Linked DNA regions of Oryctolagus cuniculus. The protein of the gene in region 4 purifies or fractionates together with the protein of the main gene of each other region. This does not show direct contact. Links are inferred from orthologs where the notes say so. Each region holds a gene or a part of one and is shown on either strand. Other genes may lie near its edges.

Evidence for each region.
Region 1: the proteins of TP53RK (region 4) and LAGE3 purify together in Homo sapiens (affinity purification with mass spectrometry; 5 studies listed by BioGRID and IntAct, with this or other methods). This does not show direct contact. The link is inferred for Oryctolagus cuniculus from reciprocal best matches to the Homo sapiens genes TP53RK and LAGE3.
Region 2: the proteins of TP53RK (region 4) and NUP43 purify together in Homo sapiens (affinity purification with mass spectrometry; 3 studies listed by BioGRID and IntAct, counting the BioPlex papers as one, with this or other methods). This does not show direct contact. The link is inferred for Oryctolagus cuniculus from reciprocal best matches to the Homo sapiens genes TP53RK and NUP43.
Region 3: the proteins of TP53RK (region 4) and OSGEP purify together in Homo sapiens (affinity purification with mass spectrometry; 5 studies listed by BioGRID and IntAct, counting the BioPlex papers as one, with this or other methods). This does not show direct contact. The link is inferred for Oryctolagus cuniculus from reciprocal best matches to the Homo sapiens genes TP53RK and OSGEP.

The regions. Positions count from the first base shown.
Region 1 is NC_091453.1:132,705,504-132,708,814, forward strand, and holds LAGE3 (EKC/KEOPS complex subunit LAGE3), read right to left. Parts: upstream 1,901-3,311; 5' UTR 1,814-1,900; coding exon 1,605-1,813; intron 1,333-1,604; coding exon 1,204-1,332; intron 924-1,203; coding exon 809-923; 3' UTR 608-808; downstream 1-607. UniProt on the Homo sapiens protein: Component of the EKC/KEOPS complex that is required for the formation of a threonylcarbamoyl group on adenosine at position 37 (t(6)A37) in tRNAs that read codons beginning with adenine.
Region 2 is NC_091436.1:18,268,137-18,272,416, reverse strand, and holds the start of NUP43 (nucleoporin Nup43), read right to left. Parts: upstream 2,908-4,280; 5' UTR 2,837-2,907; coding exon 2,717-2,836; intron 2,444-2,716; coding exon 2,321-2,443; intron 661-2,320; coding exon 583-660; intron 1-582. UniProt on the Homo sapiens protein: Component of the Nup107-160 subcomplex of the nuclear pore complex (NPC). The Nup107-160 subcomplex is required for the assembly of a functional NPC.
Region 3 is NC_091443.1:54,296,156-54,300,390, reverse strand, and holds the start of OSGEP (tRNA N6-adenosine threonylcarbamoyltransferase), read right to left. Parts: upstream 2,908-4,235; 5' UTR 2,708-2,907; coding exon 2,593-2,707; intron 856-2,592; coding exon 736-855; intron 566-735; coding exon 390-565; intron 1-389. Other genes in the region: DNA repair nuclease/redox regulator APEX1, read left to right, coding at 3,633-3,690, 3,906-4,093. UniProt on the Homo sapiens protein: Component of the EKC/KEOPS complex that is required for the formation of a threonylcarbamoyl group on adenosine at position 37 (t(6)A37) in tRNAs that read codons beginning with adenine.
Region 4 is NC_091442.1:12,878,619-12,882,784, reverse strand, and holds TP53RK (EKC/KEOPS complex subunit TP53RK), read right to left. Parts: upstream 2,599-4,166; 5' UTR 2,547-2,598; coding exon 2,270-2,546; intron 1,160-2,269; coding exon 681-1,159; 3' UTR 581-680; downstream 1-580.

The sequences.
Region 1 (3,311 bases), on a different chromosome or scaffold from region 4:
ACACATGGGTGGTAGGGGCCCAAGGATTTGGGCCATGTTATGCTGCTTTTCCAGGGGCATTGGCAGGAAGGTGGATGGGAAGTAGAGCAGCTGGGACTCAAACTGGTACTTATACGGGATGCCAGCAACGTAGGTGGCAGCTTAACCCACTGTCCCTCAACACCAGCCCCAACTTGCATTTTTTTTTATTTATTTTTATTTTTTGACAGGCAGAGTGGACAGTGAGAGAGAGAAACAGAGAGAAAGGTCTTCCTTTGCCGTTGGTTCACCCTCCAATGGCCGCCGCGGCCGGTGCACCATGCTGATCCGATGGCAGGAGCCAGGTGCTTCTCCTGGTCTCCCATGGGGTGCAGGGCCCAAGCACTTGGGCCATCCTCCACTGCACTCCCTGGCCACAGCAGAGAGCTGGCCTGGAAGAGGGGCAACCAGGACAGAATCCGGCGCCCCGACCGGGACTAGAACCCGGTGTGCCGGTGCCGCAAGGCTGAGGATTAGCCTAGTGAGCCGCGGCGCCGGCCCCCAACTTGCATTTCTTAAACATGTGAATCTCGTTTCTTCCACTGCAACTCCAGGACAATGGCAAGGATATTTGTATGTGAAAAGGATATGAAACTGGGAAGAGGTCAGTTTTATTTTCTGTGGTAGCAAACATTTAAGCACTGGTGAAAACAAACAGATCTTGAGCACCCAGAACCCAATGCAGGCAAGCCATTAGGCCCCATCCTGCTTCGGGCATGATCGCCCTAGGGAGACACATTTTCTAGGAGGCGAGCAAGGTAACAACTGGGCCCCTTTACCCAGTCCAGTCTTAGCGGGCAACGGGAGGCCCGAAGCGCTGCAGGGTGCGCACCACCAGGGAAAGCTGCTCAAGAAAGCTGATGATGGAAACTCGGAGGAGGCGAGGATCTTTAGCTGTCCAGCGGCTAAAAGGGAAGGAACAAGAAAATCAAGTCGGGGACAGTAGCTGCCCACATCCCTTGCTCTACCCCTCAGGCATCCAGTGCAGCAGATCCTGGAAGCCCCGGTATTACAGGGCCTCTCGGGCAGCGTCCCAGACCTGCTCCTTAGACTTCCCCCGGAGTGCCTCCAGGCCTCCCAGCCTACCTCTCAGTGGAGAATGGCCACATCCCCTGTTGCCTTCCCCTCACCGCCTCCCGCTCCCCCACTCCTGCCACCCCACCCCCGGCCCCCGGAAGCATTTACACCGCCAGGACGGTGCCGGTCACTGCGAGGTCCTTTCCAATCGCTTCTGGGTGAGGCTCAGCATCTGGAGCCAGGGACTCACAGGCGATTTCTGCCTCCAGACGGGTGGGAAAAGGCACACTGAGGGTACTGGTGGAGGTTTGGTAAAGGCACCATCGGAAGCGACTTTGCCCGAGTCTGTTTCCCTGGCTCTTCTGACGGCTTCCATGACCTCTCTCGGGCGCCCCCCACTGGCTAACGCTTTAATCCCACAGCCATCCGGGCGGCTCCGATTACCCTGCTCTTCTTTCTGTGCTACCGGTCCTCCCACTCGCCCTTCCCACCTTCTGTTCCAGGCTACCCTGCCCCCACCACGGGCAGCCTCCACCCCCTTCCCCCACTGTGCCCCTCCCGCAGGATACAAGGAGTGTGGTCGCATTCCCGGGCTTGCGGCTGCTGTCGCGGCGTCTCCGCCCGGAACGGCAGCGTGCGGTGCCTGCGCGACTTCTCGAGTTCCACGGGCTGCAGCTGCTTCTGTGTCGGTACCATCGGGAAAGTCGCGGCCACGCCGTCCACGCTGGGTGTGAGCGCCGCCCGCCACGCCGCCTGCGCCTGCGTCCGCAGCCTGCATGGCTGCCGCTGCCCCGCCCTCAACCCCACCCTCAGGGCGCTGCGCCACGGCCCGCCATCTCCAGGAGCTTCGTAGATTGCCCGCCCTCCTGAAGCTCCGCCCCTCGCGCACGACCACGTCCACGCGCGCCTGCGCAAACACACCTTTGACGAGGCTGTTGGGACGCCTCGTGAGTTCCCGCGATAGTGGCCCAACGTGGGGGCTCTTGGAGACCCTGGCAGCTTCAGAAACACTGCATTCGTGATTCGATGCTAGTGCGCTAGCCAGAACATACCTCCAGTGAAGCAGGCAGATGCGTGGTCGGTTCCCGACAACACAGCGCTGCTGGTACCCACAGGCCCTGGAGAAACTGAGCTGCAATATATATTTTTTTTAAGATTTATTTATTTTGGGGCCGGCGCTGTGGCTCACTTGGTTAATCCTCCGCCTGCGGCGCCGGCATCCCATACGGGCGCTGGGTTCTAGTCCCGGTTGCTCCTCTTCTCTCCAGCTCTCTGCTGTGGCCGGGAGTGCAGTGGAGGATGGCCCAAGTGCTTGGGTGCCTGCACCCGCATGGGAGACCAGGAGAGGCACCTGGCTCCTGGCTTCGGATCGGCGCAGCGCCAGCCGTAGCGGCCATTTGGGGAGACCTTCTCTCTGTCTCTTTCTCTCACTGTCTAACCCTATCTTTCAAATAAATAAATTTTAAATAGATTTATTTGAAAGAGAAAGAGGTCTTCCATCCACTGGTTCACCAGTTGCCCGCAACTGCCAGAGCTGCGCCAATCCAAAGTCAGGAGCTTCTTCAGGGTGTCCCACACAGGTGCAGGGGCCCAAGGACCGGGGCCATCTTCTACTGCTTTCCCAGGCCACAGCAGAGAGCTGGATTGGAAGAGGAGCAACCATTTCATAGCGTTGCTGGCTACAGCCTTACCTGGTAAACTACAACGCCACCTTGGCTCTAGATTTTTTTTCCGTCGCTGAAGTTTGCCAAATGTATCGTAGTTCCATTGTATCAGTTCGTTCTGTTAGGTAACAAGATCGATCTCAGACTGTGTGTGAGGCTGTTAGGTAGCAAGGGAGAGATTAGCTGTGTGTGTGAAGAGGGCCTAAGGAAAACAAAGCCCTGGTGGAAAGCAATGTAGCAGCCTGGGACGTGCACTTGGGCAGCAGTCCTGTATTTTTTTACACGACAAAGCCCTGTCCACCCCCGTCACTTTATTGGTGGCCCCAGCCTTGCCTCCCAAAAAGGCACCCCAGGAGAACCCTCTGTCTGGCGCTAAGCAGGCTGCTCAGTCTGATAACTGGGTAATAAAACTTTGGGAGGGATTTCACCCATTTCACACCCAGCAAAGCCCTTGCGGGGAAGAGAAACAGGGAAGAACTGGACCCCAGTCCCTCAGAAGGCCCGGTCTCAGTGCGGACTGGGCTCTCAGCTCAGCTCTTGGTTCTTTGGCGCTTGGCCCATCAGGAAAGTTCTAGCCGCTGAACCTTGCCCTCCCCATTCTGAATGACTGGA
Region 2 (4,280 bases), on a different chromosome or scaffold from region 4:
AATTATGGAAAATTACCTGCCAAATTACCATATTGCTTCATCCAAACTAACAGAATGCATTGCAGGTTTACCCAATTTCAATAACAGCTCACAGGGCTGGCGCTGTGGCGTAGCAGGTAAAGCCACCACCTACAATGCCGGCATCTCATATGGGCAATGGTTCAAGTCCTGGCTGCTTCACTTCCCATTTAGCTCCCTGCTAATGGCCTGGGAAAGCAGTAGAGGATGGCCCAAGTGCTTGAGCCCCTGCACCCAAGCAGGAGACCTGGAAGAAACTCCTGACTTCTGGCTTTGGTCTGGCCCACCCCTGGCTGATGCAGCCACTGAGAAATGAACCAGTGGAAGGAAGACCTTTCTGTTTCTGTCTTTCCCCTCCTTTCTCTGTAATTCTCTTTCAAAAACAAACAAACAAACAAACAAACAACTCACAAAAACATGGTTCTAGAATTACATTCGCAAAAAGTAATGATATTTTCCCCCCCTTCATATCGTAAGGCTTTAAAACTATTAAATACGGTTTTCCTTACACCTTTCTAAAAATAACTAAAATACAAATTCACTTTTCAAACCAAAGTTCTTTACCTGGTTATTTGGATGGTGAAGGAAAATTGTTACACATCCTGTTGATGAAGCAGCTACAATTCTTTCCTGGTCAAAAAACTAAACAGAAAAATTCCTGCTTATTATAGATTCAGAAAAACTAGTAGGGAGGAAACCCGTTGTTTAACTGAATTTATAGCAAATTACGTAACTGTAAAAGGTAAAAAGCCTGTAAGTGCTACCCAAATAACATTTGTTAGATCTAAAAGTTAACATTGCTATACAAATAAAGGTATTTTCATGAGGAATAAATGGTTGGCCAAGTTAAATTCTCTAAGCCTTGGAATGTGGTGGGCATTTGGCTTGCTATGATGTTGGGTTGAGATGCCCAAGTTCAGAATGCCTGTGTTCAACACCCAGTTCTGGCTCCTTATTTCAGCTTCCTGTTAACGCAGGTCCTGCAAAGCAATGGTAATGACTCAAGTAATTGGGTCCATGCTACCCACATGGGAGACCTGGACTGAGTTCCTGGCTCTTGGCTCCTGATTGACGCAGGCTTTGGTGAATGAGCCAGTTGATGGGAGCTCTAACAAATACATTAAAAAAGAAATTTCCCTGAGGCCACTGCTGTGGTACAATAGGCTAAGCTTCCGCCTGCAGGGCCAACATCTCACACGCACCCTGGTTTCCATCCTGGCTGCTCCTCTTCTGACCCGGCCCTCTGCTATGGTCTGAGAAAGCAGTAGAGGATGGCCCAAGTCCTTGGACCCCTGCACCCGCATGGGAGACTGGGAAGAAGCTCCTGGCTTCAGATCAGCCCAGTTATGGCCATTGCAGCCATTTGGGGAGTGAACCAGCAGATCGAGAACTTTCTCTCTGTCTCTAACTCTACCTCTCAAATAAGTAAATTTTTAAAAATCTGTATTTTTAAACAGGGAGTACTAATCCTACTCAGGGTGGGTTATGAGAAATCAAAAAATTTAAAAGACCTACCCTGCACAGTATTTGTCACAAATGAGGATAATTCAAGAAGTTTATGGAAAATGAAATTAAAAGATAATGCATTCTAGTGCAAAATTTTTAAAAGCCCATGCATAGTTTATCTATAATATGCATTTTCCATGAACTTTGAGATCCTTAGCAGTGTGTGCTCGAAAGATAATATTCTTAGCATTCTCACGGGCAAAATAGAAATAACAATACTGACTCACAGACATGTAATTAGAATTAAACGGTCTTATGTAAAACTCCAAAAATATCACTTGCAGGCCGGCACCGCAGCTCAATAGGCTAATCCTCCGCCTGCGGCGCCGGCACACCGGGTTCTAGTCCCGGCTGGGGCGCCGGATTCTGTCCCGGTTGCTCCTCTTGCAGTCCAGCTCTCTGCTGTGGCCCGGAAAGGCAGTGGAGGATGGCCCAAGTGCTTGGGCCCTGCACCCGCATGGGAGACCAGGAGGAGGCACCTGGCTCCTGGCTTCGGATCGGTGCAGCGCCGTCCGAGGTGGCCATTTGAGGGGTGAACCAACGGAAGGAAGACCTGTCTCTCTCACTAACTTTGCCTGTCAAAAAAAAAATAATAATAATAAAATAAAAAAATCGCTTGCAGCTGGGAGGTTGTGCCACTAAGTGATCAGTCTACGTTGGGTAAATCCTAACCTATGGAGAACTCGCTTTCCTGTAAACTAGGGGTGAGGCCAGGAGAGCTCTCAGGTCTCTGCACTCTAAATGCACTGCTCTGGCTTTCTTTAGAAGCGAGCCTCTGGGCACTGGACGCGTTTACCTGTAAGTCCATGACGTCACCATGGTGTTTGATATCGCACAACAGTCGATGGTCTCCTTCCAGGCTTCCATCAGAGTCCGGGTTTCCGAAATCTCCGATAGACCACAGTGAAACGTGATTCTCCTGTAAAGCAAACGGCTTCATCTTGAGATGACAGAACCGTCAACTCTGGAAAGTAAACCCAATGCGTATCGCCTTAAGGCAACCTGGGCTCCAAAGCATCTCACACGGCATGGGCAGAATGTGAAACAAGAAGACGGGGGCTCGGGCACACCCACGCTGGCTGCAGCCGAGCCCCCGGACCCGGGGCCGGGGAGGATGGAAAGTCGCGCGCTCCAGGGCACCTGGGCGTGGGAGAGGACGGAGCCCCGGGGTCCCGCCCCGGAGCCAGGGTACCTCATTGTCCCAAGAGCCCGTGGCAAAGGTCTCGGCGGTCTGCAGGCTCCCCGGAGGCACCGGCCGCCAGCGGGTTTTGCTGATTTTCTCAGACACAAACTTGGCATACAGCTCCTCCATGCTGAAAGCAACAGCAGCAGGCACAGCCAGCCGCGCGCCGCGCGCCTCCGGGTTCCGCCCCTTCCCGCGGAGCTCTGATTGGATGGGAGCTCGCCGGGCGACGGCGGCCGCGAAGGGCCAATTCCCAGCGGAAGGCGGTGCAGGCACTGCCGGGCCCGGACCAGGAGGGGTCTGAGGCGCCCATGATCAGCGAGGTGGCTTTGAGCAAAACCAAGAGTGCCCCGGCCTATGTGCAGTGGGATCTGCACCCGACATGCAAATGCAGAGGAGGAACATGGAGACAACGTGCTTGTGCAATAACTTAAGAACAAAATCACTGCGTGGGAAACCACCTTGCAGGCACATCAGCTGCTTGTCACTATGCATAGCAAACAACTCAAAATCCTTCAATCTTCATGGCACTATTTCCAATAAAGTACGAATTTATTATCCTAAACCTTTGACTCCAGTTTTAGTTCTGCTGCCAGTTACCTAAGGTTACCTAACTGTAACCTTGGTCAACTCACTTACATACGTAATTTTTTAAGAAAAGATTTATTTCAAAGGCAGAGTTGCAGAGAGAGGGAGAGACACACACACAGAGGGAGCTCTTCCATCCGCTGGCTCACTCCCCAAATGGTGGCTTAGGCCAGGGCTGGGTCAGGTCAAAGCTGGGAACAGCCAGGACGCAAATCGGCGGCTAAAACCACTGTGCCACAACACCGGCTCCACTTCCATTACATAATTAAGAACGGATTTTGTGATACCTAACGTCCACAGCCTGGGGCATGAGTGCTGCGGGTTCCTTTAGTGCCTTTGGTTATGGCTAAAATACCTTTCCACTCCTCCTCTCAGAATCCTGTCCACCCTTCACCCTTTCCCTGACGGCCTCAGCGGAGGATGAGGAGGAGAATAAAACAGAACGTTTCGTATCTGCATCACTAAGAGCACGCATTTTGCCCCGTTTCTGGTTTCCTTTTCCAAAGCTCCTTAGCGTGGAAATCCTACTGATTCCAAGAGGTATGATTTATTCCACCTTGGCAACTCTCTTACACCGCTGTATTCATAACTATATGTTGTCTCTTTAAAGGGGGCCGTGCCGGGCTGCCGGTTTACGAGGTCGGGGGTCCCACTTCACCGGGACAGTTTGTGCAAGGAGTGGACGAAACGTAACCGCCGCGGCCGGCTTCGGTGAGAGTTACCAGGGTCTGCTCTGCAGCCGAAGATCGCCAGCCGTCTGCGGAGAGACGGAACGGGCGCCCGGGAAGCGGATGAGCCCCAAGTCGACAATTTCATTCCTATCATATATCCACGGAAAGAACAATTGCGTGTGGGCTCGTTTACGACCACAGAACCCCGACAAGAGGACATGCGTATTTTTGAACAGTGTCACATTCGACAGAACCTGGTAAGCGCGAGAACTTGAAAACTGCTGCTGATCTAAGAGCTTAGACGCGGTGACACA
Region 3 (4,235 bases), on a different chromosome or scaffold from region 4:
AGTGTTAAAATAGCAAAGTCTACATTTACCTTCATTACAAAATGTCTAGTTATCTTAAAAAAATAAATAAATAAATTGGTAGTGCCCCTTAGTTTTAATTGCTAAAATGTACAGAAAAAAAAGCTTCAAAATAATATAAGCTTAAATCCTTATCATTGTTTTCTAAATTGGAAATTCCTAATCTTTTTTGTATAATCAAATATATAAAAGTCACCTAAAGTTTTAATAACCTGTCGAAATCTGCTATTACGAACTCTGTTGTGAGTTTTCTGGTGAAGAGCTAGGTTCAGTTCTGTTTCACAGGCAGTCCCCACAACTCAGGTAAGCCACAGAAGTCACTGGTTCACTGCCCACAAAGTAGGATGAAATAGGTGGAGTACTCAAAATACCTGTGTGTTTCCCCCGCTGACATACAGCACAGTTGGGCTGGTGGCTCCAGTGATGAGACGGCCCATCTCAATGTGGCCTATACAGTGGTTCACGCCTAGCAATGGCTTATTCCACAGCTGGGCCACGGTACGAGCCACGACAGCCACAGAAACTAGTGGAGCACCCATGCCAGGACCTAGGGGACAGAAATGGTAGTCAGAATGCTGGATTGGAAAAAAACAGGTGAGGAACTAGGGAATGTCAAAGCGGGAGAGGGCTTGTGGTGGTGACAGAGGCAAGGCAGAGGACATTTTGACCTACCCAGGCTCCACATTCCTCCAACACTGACCCCTCCCCCAGTCATACCCTTGGTGTAGGCAATGCAGTCAATATCCTGGGAGGTTAATCCAGCCTCGCTCAGCGCCTCCTGCAGCAGATCTAGGATAACAGCTCGGTGGTGCCTGGCAGTGTCACCTGGAAGGAATCCTAGAAAATGGGAACAGGCCAGGGGTCATAAGGGTTTTCTGCAGCAAAGACAAGTAGAATTTTAAAACTATGACAGTGAAGCCTCCTGAGTTTCAGTAATGCAGGAAGACTCCTTCCATTCTCCTCAAGCACCCTGTCTTCCAGGTTTTCAGACACATTCTAACCTCTACGTAAGCTGTTCAGGTATCAGAAGTGCCTTTCTTCCTACTCAATTCCTACTCAGCATTAAGACCCAAGTGAGGGGCCGGCACTGTGGCGTAGTAGGTTAAGCGTCCACCTGCAGTGCCGGCATCCCATATGGGCACCAGTTCGAGTCCCCGCTGCACCACTTCCCATCCAGCTCCCTGCTGATGAAAGCAGTAGAAGATGGCCCAAATGCTTGGGCCCCTGAACCCATGTGGGAGACCCAAAAGAAGCTCCTGACTCCTGCCTTCAGATTGGTCCAGCTCTGGTCATTGTGGCCATTTGGGAAATGAGCCAGCAGATGGGAGACACCTCTCTCTCTCTCTCTCTCTCTCTCTCTGCCTATAACTCTAAAATTAAAAAAAAAAAATCTTTGAAAAAAAAAACAAACTCAACCGATACCTACCTCATGCAGAATCCTACACATAATCACATCACTGTATCTTACACCTAACAATTACAGCATAGCATTAAAATTATCAGTGGTTTCCACAGTTTAACTACAATTACCTGAAAACATTGGCTATTTGATTTATTCTTGTACTCCCAGTACCCAAGTGCTTAGAATAGGAAAGACTTAAACATAGATATACAAGCACTTCTAATACGTACAACCCGTCACATTACTTGTTCAGAGGCTGCTCTGGTACATGGAAATCATTTGCCCCCTCCTATATGTGCAGGTGTTTGAGGGGAGAGTAGGCAAGATACAATAGCTCATAAACCATACGGAACAGAAGCTGTTCAGTGTCTGGTACTTTCATTTAGTCCCCAAGACACAATGTTAAGGCACCACCACTCCCATTTTAAGAGTCACAAAGTACAGTGGGTGTTCTGGCACTTGGGACACCCACATTCCCCATGGGAGTGCCCAGGCTCAAGGCCTAGCTACTCGGCTTCCAATCCAAGTTCCTGCTGATGTGCACCCTGGCAGGGAGCAGATGATGGCCAAGAGTATGAGCCCCTGCAACCCATAAATGGGAGACACGGATGGAGCTATTGGCTCCTGGCTTCTGCCTCACTCAGCCCTGGCTACTGCAGGCATTTGGGAAGTGGACCAGTAGATGAGGTTCTCTCTGGCTGGCTGTCACCCTGCCTTTCCAGTAGATAAAAATAAGCAAAAAGCAAACATTAAAAAGTGAAAAAAAAAAAAGTCAAGAGTATCCCAATACCAGTCAATTCTATCCGGTACCTAAATCCTAATTCCTTCCATCTTCACGTCTCTCCTCCGCATTTTACAACATTTTGAGTCCATCTCTATTACACCACTCATCACGCTGTTACAATTCGTTTATACATTAGACTCCAGGGTAGATTTCTACAAGTTTATGAGGTCTTGGTACGCAAAAAGCATTCAATGAAAGCTCGACAACCCCAGAAGATTCAGGTCCAAGCGCCTGTGGCTCTTCCACTCATCCGCCTTCTGACAATAACATCACATAACCTCAACGAGCTGTAAAATGGGACAAAATTCCCCGGGCCCCATTCACTGGTGTTCAGGGAAATAGGTGATGTGCGCGGGGAAGGTCGTCGCAAATTAAGTCCAGGACTCACCTGTGCCCGGAGGCGTGACATAGGTCCGCCGCGGGTTGGCCAGCACCTTGCCATCCCGCACCACTCCCACGCCAATCTTGTTGGCGCTGCCTTCAAACCCCAGCACCGTCGGCATGGCGCCGCCTGAGAGAGAACGCCAAGGCGCCAAACACCGAGCCGCGACAGCCCTCGGCGGGCGGTACCGGCACGCTGTTGGTAAACAGTAAACCGCGCCCGGACACCAAAACCTGCCGCGGGGGCAGTGCCCGCGCCTGCGCCTGCGCCCGCCGGCGACCCACAAGGCCCCTTCCGGAACCTGTCTCCGGAGCTGCCGGGAGCGCTGAGCCGGCCTCTGCGCCGGCCCTGCCTAGTCCACTCCCCCGCCTCTCTCCTGCGGCCCAGCCCAGTCGCTGCCACTGAGCTTCTGCCCCCTCGCACGGCGCCGGCTCCTTCGGTCAGGGCGGCAGAAGGAGCCGTACATCAGGCACGAACGTGAACAGCCCAAGAACGGAGCCTTGGGACCTTCAGCCCTCCGCGGAGTGAGAGGGGCGTGTCAGAGTCTCCGTCACGTGGTGGCAGACGGCCCAATCACGCGCGGCCTCGGGTCACGTGACCACGCCAGTTACCCACGTGGGCGTCCAGCGTGCTCCCTTCTTTGTGCTCGGGTAAGGAGCCAGGCTGGGGCAGGAGCGGGGCAGGAGCAGGTCAGGTGCAGCGCTGCGTTTTTGCTTGTTGGAGGGGCCTCCGCTAGCTGCCTCACGGGACCTTTAGTAAAGGTCTCCCGTTGGCCGTAGAGCGGATCTCGCGGTGATTCAAACGCTCTATGGATAGATCTAGTTGGGGAGTGAAGCGCCGAAGGCCTGATGCACCGAGGCGGGGACAGGATTCAGAGATTATGTGGTTTGAAAGGCGGGACTTAGTGCGGGGGCCGTCCAGGGCAGGAGTTTTCTCCCCAGCCTTCGCCGGCTGAGTCGTATATCTTTGCATCCTTAGGCATCGCGGTGAAGATACTGCTTCGGTGGTCGACGTGGTTCGGGTGCCGAAGGGCGATCGTTACAGGCATGCCAAAGCGAGGGAAGAAGGGGGCCGCGGCAGAAGACGGGGAGGAGCCCAAGACGGGTGAGAGTGAAGCGGCCTCTCCCTGCCAGTCGCGGTGGGCGGGGTTGGGGGGGCTGCTTCTGAGTCCCTTGGCGAAATGTTAGCTGTGGGCCAACTCATAGCGGGCGCAGGAGAGGAAGTCGCGCTAACCGCAGGGTCGCGGTGCGTTTGCCTTGGACTCTGACTCGATGTTGGAAACCTCCAGCTCTTATCCCTACGTATTATTCTCGTTATAGAGCCAGAGACCAAGAAGGCTAAGACGGCAGCGAAGAAAAATGAAAAAGAGTCAGCAGGAGAGGGCCCCGTGCTGTATGAGGACCCCCCAGACCAGAAAACCTCACCTAGCGGCAAAGCTGCCACACTGAAGATCTGCTCCTGGAACGTGGATGGGCTTCGAGCCTGGATTAAGAAGAAAGGCTTAGATGTGAGTGGAATTCAGATTTCATGCTGAATGGTCTCAGGGCTTCATTAGCGTCTTTTCATTTTAATGCCCAGGATGTAACTTTTTTTTCTCCTTTCTTTTCTTGTGGGAGAAGTACAAGGGGCAAAGGGAAAGCAGTAGAAGA
Region 4 (4,166 bases):
ACAGTGCGCTCTGCTACCTTCTGGTCGGACTCTATCCCACGAGTCTGAAGACGAGCTCATCACCAACGGTCTGATGTGTCACCAGCAGCACCGACAGCGAACGTTCTGCTCACCCAGCCACAGGCTGCTTTCGATGCTATGTCTACGCACCTGAGGCTTACACACCAAAGCTGAAAGGCAGGCCTGCCCTGGATTGACTTTCTCGTGAATCATTCACTCAAGAGACAGACAGATGAAGGCAGAGAGTGCACTCCCCTGCACTGGTTCACTTCTCATACGCCCACGATGGCCGGGGTTAGGCAGGGACCAGAGCCCGGAAGGCAATCCAGGTCTCCCACAGGGATGGCAGGGGCCGGTTACTCGAGCCATCACTGCAGCCTCCTAGGATCAGCGCTGGTGGGAAGCCGGTCGCGCCACACCCAGGCACCCCGAGACAGGACACAGGGGTCTCAACCGCTAAGCTGATGCCCAGTCCTGGATTGACTGCAAACACCCAGTTCTGCCTGGAGCACCTCACGCAAGCTCTTAGGAATACTCACTGCAGATGGCGACACTCAACAGGCATGACCACACACACGGCTTCAAAACAGCTCGATACATTTATTGAGGCCTAGTCTCACGTTTGTAGAGTCCAGATTTACCCTGAAGATCGGCCTAGCCTTGTGGAGCCGCCTCGCGTCCTACCCGACCATCGACCGCTTTCTGCCCCGCAGCCGGACTTCGTCCAGCTTTCGGAGCACTGGCCTGGCCTTCCTGGAGGCGCTGGCGTAGCTCTTCAGGAAGGCCTCGAACACGGGCTCGGTGTTCGGGTGGGTGCTGAGGAAGGCCTTCTCCAGGACGTACAGGTCCACGCCCTTATCTTCCGGAAGCCCCGAGACGAAGCTCAGCCCAAAGTCGATGAGCACGATGCTCAGCTGCTCCGCCGGGGGCTTCAGGAGCATGTTGGAGGTCGTGAGGTCCCCATGGATGAGGTCTTCGTCGTGCATCCGAGCCAGCACCTGCCCGATCGCCTTGGCCAAGCCACAGAGGCTCTGGGGGGTTCCTTCAGAGTCCAGGGTGGACTGGATATAATCCCGCACCGTGACTGAGCCTTCGATTTCCTCCATGTACAAGCAGTTGGAAGCATAGTCCACGAAAAAGACCACTGGGGCACAGATGCCTGGAATCAAGACGCGGGGGGTTACTGGGTTGCATTCTTGGTTTTTTCCCTTAGTCAAGGCTTCATTTTCAAAGTTAAGTGAGTCTTCCAGTCTTTACTCACTTCAGGAAACAGCTTTAGGAAACGGCACAACTCGACTCTGGAACATTCTCGGGCTCAGGCCTGAGACCATTAAACAGCCCGGGGTAGGGGGGCCAAAGCTTCCTCCTTCCCCACACTACAACTTGGGGCTGAACCCTAGTTCTCACACCAACCTGGGAGCCAGCAGGGGAGGCCCGGCCCAGACAGAAGTTTCTGGACACAACGGAGCCCGGCAGAGTGGCCACGGGGAGGCTCATTTCGCAGTCTGTAAGGGTGGAGTCCGATCCCTGCGCTTAGCAGCGGTGCGACCTCGGTTTATGCTACTCATGGGGTCGCCACCCTCAGTGCGCACAGTCAAGGAGGCCACGTTCTAGAAACGGAGACCTCTCCCGGGGCTACAGCCCACGATCCCCGCTGCACGGCGCCTGCAGCGCAGAGAGGGGTGAACACAGACGCCCGCAGCTTCCGGAACCGCAGAAACGCCCGGGACTTGTCCGCCTGCTCTCCCCCAGCTTCCCCGCGCCTCCCAGCCCCCGACATGGCCCTGGTGTGCAGGAGGTCGGGAGGATGTGACCCGGGAAAGCTGCTGCCGCTCTCCCAGCCCCAGGTTCTCGGCTGAGGTCGGAGTTCCCGGCGGCGGGGCACAGGGGTGCTTTCATGAAAAAAATGAACGAATGAAGTCTAACACGTGCCAGGCTGACATTCAAACACAGCCGGCGACCGCTCACAGCGCCCCCGGAGGCGGGCTCCCCAGCACCGCTGCCGCCTTGCAGGCAAGGACGCCGAGGCTGCGCGAGACGCGAGCCCAGAGAGCCCGGCTGCTGTGACGGAAACCCTGACACCGCACGCGGGAAAACCCAAGGCCAAGGCGGCAAAGCAACCGTGCACCACCGAGCAACAGTCAGGGCCCAAACGCGCCAGCAACTCGCCCGGAGCGCATCGAGACCGGGCGCGAGGACGACGCGTCCCGACCGGGGGTCCGGGCGGCAGGCGCCAGTGCACCCCCAGGCCCCGGCCGCGCCGCCTCACCTGCGCGGCGGCAGCGGAGCAGCGCCCGCGCCTCCTGCACCGTCCGCCGCCGGCCGAGCCGCGCCTCCAGCGTCGGGTGCCGGTAGCCCTTGGGGAAGCGGTGCTTCACCACGGCCGCCCGGCCCTGGAAGCGGCCGCGGAACACGCGCGCCTCGGCGCCCTGCTTCACCAGCTGCAGGCCGCTCAGGAAGCGGCTGCTCCGCTCCAGGGCCGCGGCCAACGCCTCCGCCGCGGGCTCTTCGTGATTCTCTGTGGCACCAGCGTCGGGGGCCGCCATGGCAGCGCTTCCGCCCTCCCCGGAAATGCCGGCGACGCTTCCGCTCGCTCCGAAAATCCTCCGGGCTCTTCCGCCTCTCTAGCGGCTCCCCCTGCAACACTTCCGCCCTGGGAAAATGGTTCCGCCTCCCAACTTTCGGCTCCTGTCAGAGCCTTTGGTGCCCGCAGCGAACGGCTCTGTGACTCCGCCCCCAGCCCTTCGGCTATCTCCGTAAACGCTCGGCAACTCTCGGGAAATCGTTCCTCACCACTGCTCGGCACTTTCCGGAAGCCCTCGGTGACGCTGGCGAGCTGCCGGGGGCGGGGGTGCTCGGCTCCCAGTTCTTCGGCTCTTTCCGGAAAACTTCGGCTACTTTCGATTAAAACGATTTTTGGGGTGCTCTTTGCCCTTCTCAGGAGTTCCTCAGGATCCTGGAAAGCTTTGCGGCCAGTAGAGCCTTTTCGGAACTCACAAGGCTCACTGCAGTCAGAGCGGGTGCTGGGATAGCAACCACCGTTTCTCTCAGCGCCTTGGGGAATAATAAGGTTAAACGGTGGAAAACCCTCCTTACAGAAAACAGACTCAGGACTATGGTGATGGCCAGATCACTGGGGCCGAGAGGGGACAGAACCTAACTGTGTTGCAGAAATTGATGACTTTATCACAAGGCTGATAGGAGCAGTAACAGATTCTTGCTATAAAGAATTTTGCACTCAGTCATCAAAGATTGCTATACTCCTCACCAGGCCCCACAGAACTTTATATGTATCATGCCTTTCTAGATGCATTTTTAAAAGATTCGTGTATTTATTTATTTGAAATAGTTACAGAGAGAAAGGAGGAGACAGAGAGGTCTTCCACCTGCTGGTTCACTCCTCAAAAGACCATAATGGCCAGGGTTGGGCCAGGCCAAAGCCAAGAGCCAGGAGCTTCTTCCTGGTCTCCCACAGGGTGCAGGGGCCTGAAGCCTCGAGCCACCCTCTGCTGCTTTCCCGGGCCATTAGGAGGGAGCTGGATCAGAAGTGGAGCAGCAGGGACTCTAACCGGCACGCACGTGGGATGGCGGGTCACAGGCGGCAGCTTTACCTGCTACCCCACAGGGCCAGCCCCTCCACATGTTTTTATACAATGTGCATGCACACACATATCATTGTGAGGCTTCTCCCCCAACAGAAATGAGAATATGATGCACATTATTTTGCTACTTGCTTTTTTCCCCCTAAGCAGTTTGTCCCAGATAATCTTCCTTATCAGAATATCTAGAGCTGCCACATCCTTCTACAGGGTCAAACGGTTCCTTGTTGCTAAGTTTTAGTACATTTCTTATTGTCGTTTTACTTTCTCTTACGAAACGCTGCGATGAACAGGCTGATCCAGGCATCATTCATTGCAGCATGCACAAGTGTTTCTGGGGACGTCTGTCTACAAGTGATGTCACTGGGTGCAGGAGACAAGCTCTTTAAAATCCGATCCGTCAGCCAAACTGCCCTTCCAAAGGTCTGTGTCTTTTTAGAGTTCTATGCAAGTATATCCCATTTCCCTGCACCCTCATCCTCTCTGATTTTCCCAGGTTTTGAAAGGCCTAACCAGGTAGAGGAATGGGAGAGTGCTCGGGTTGCAGGCCCAAAGAATGAACAGGAG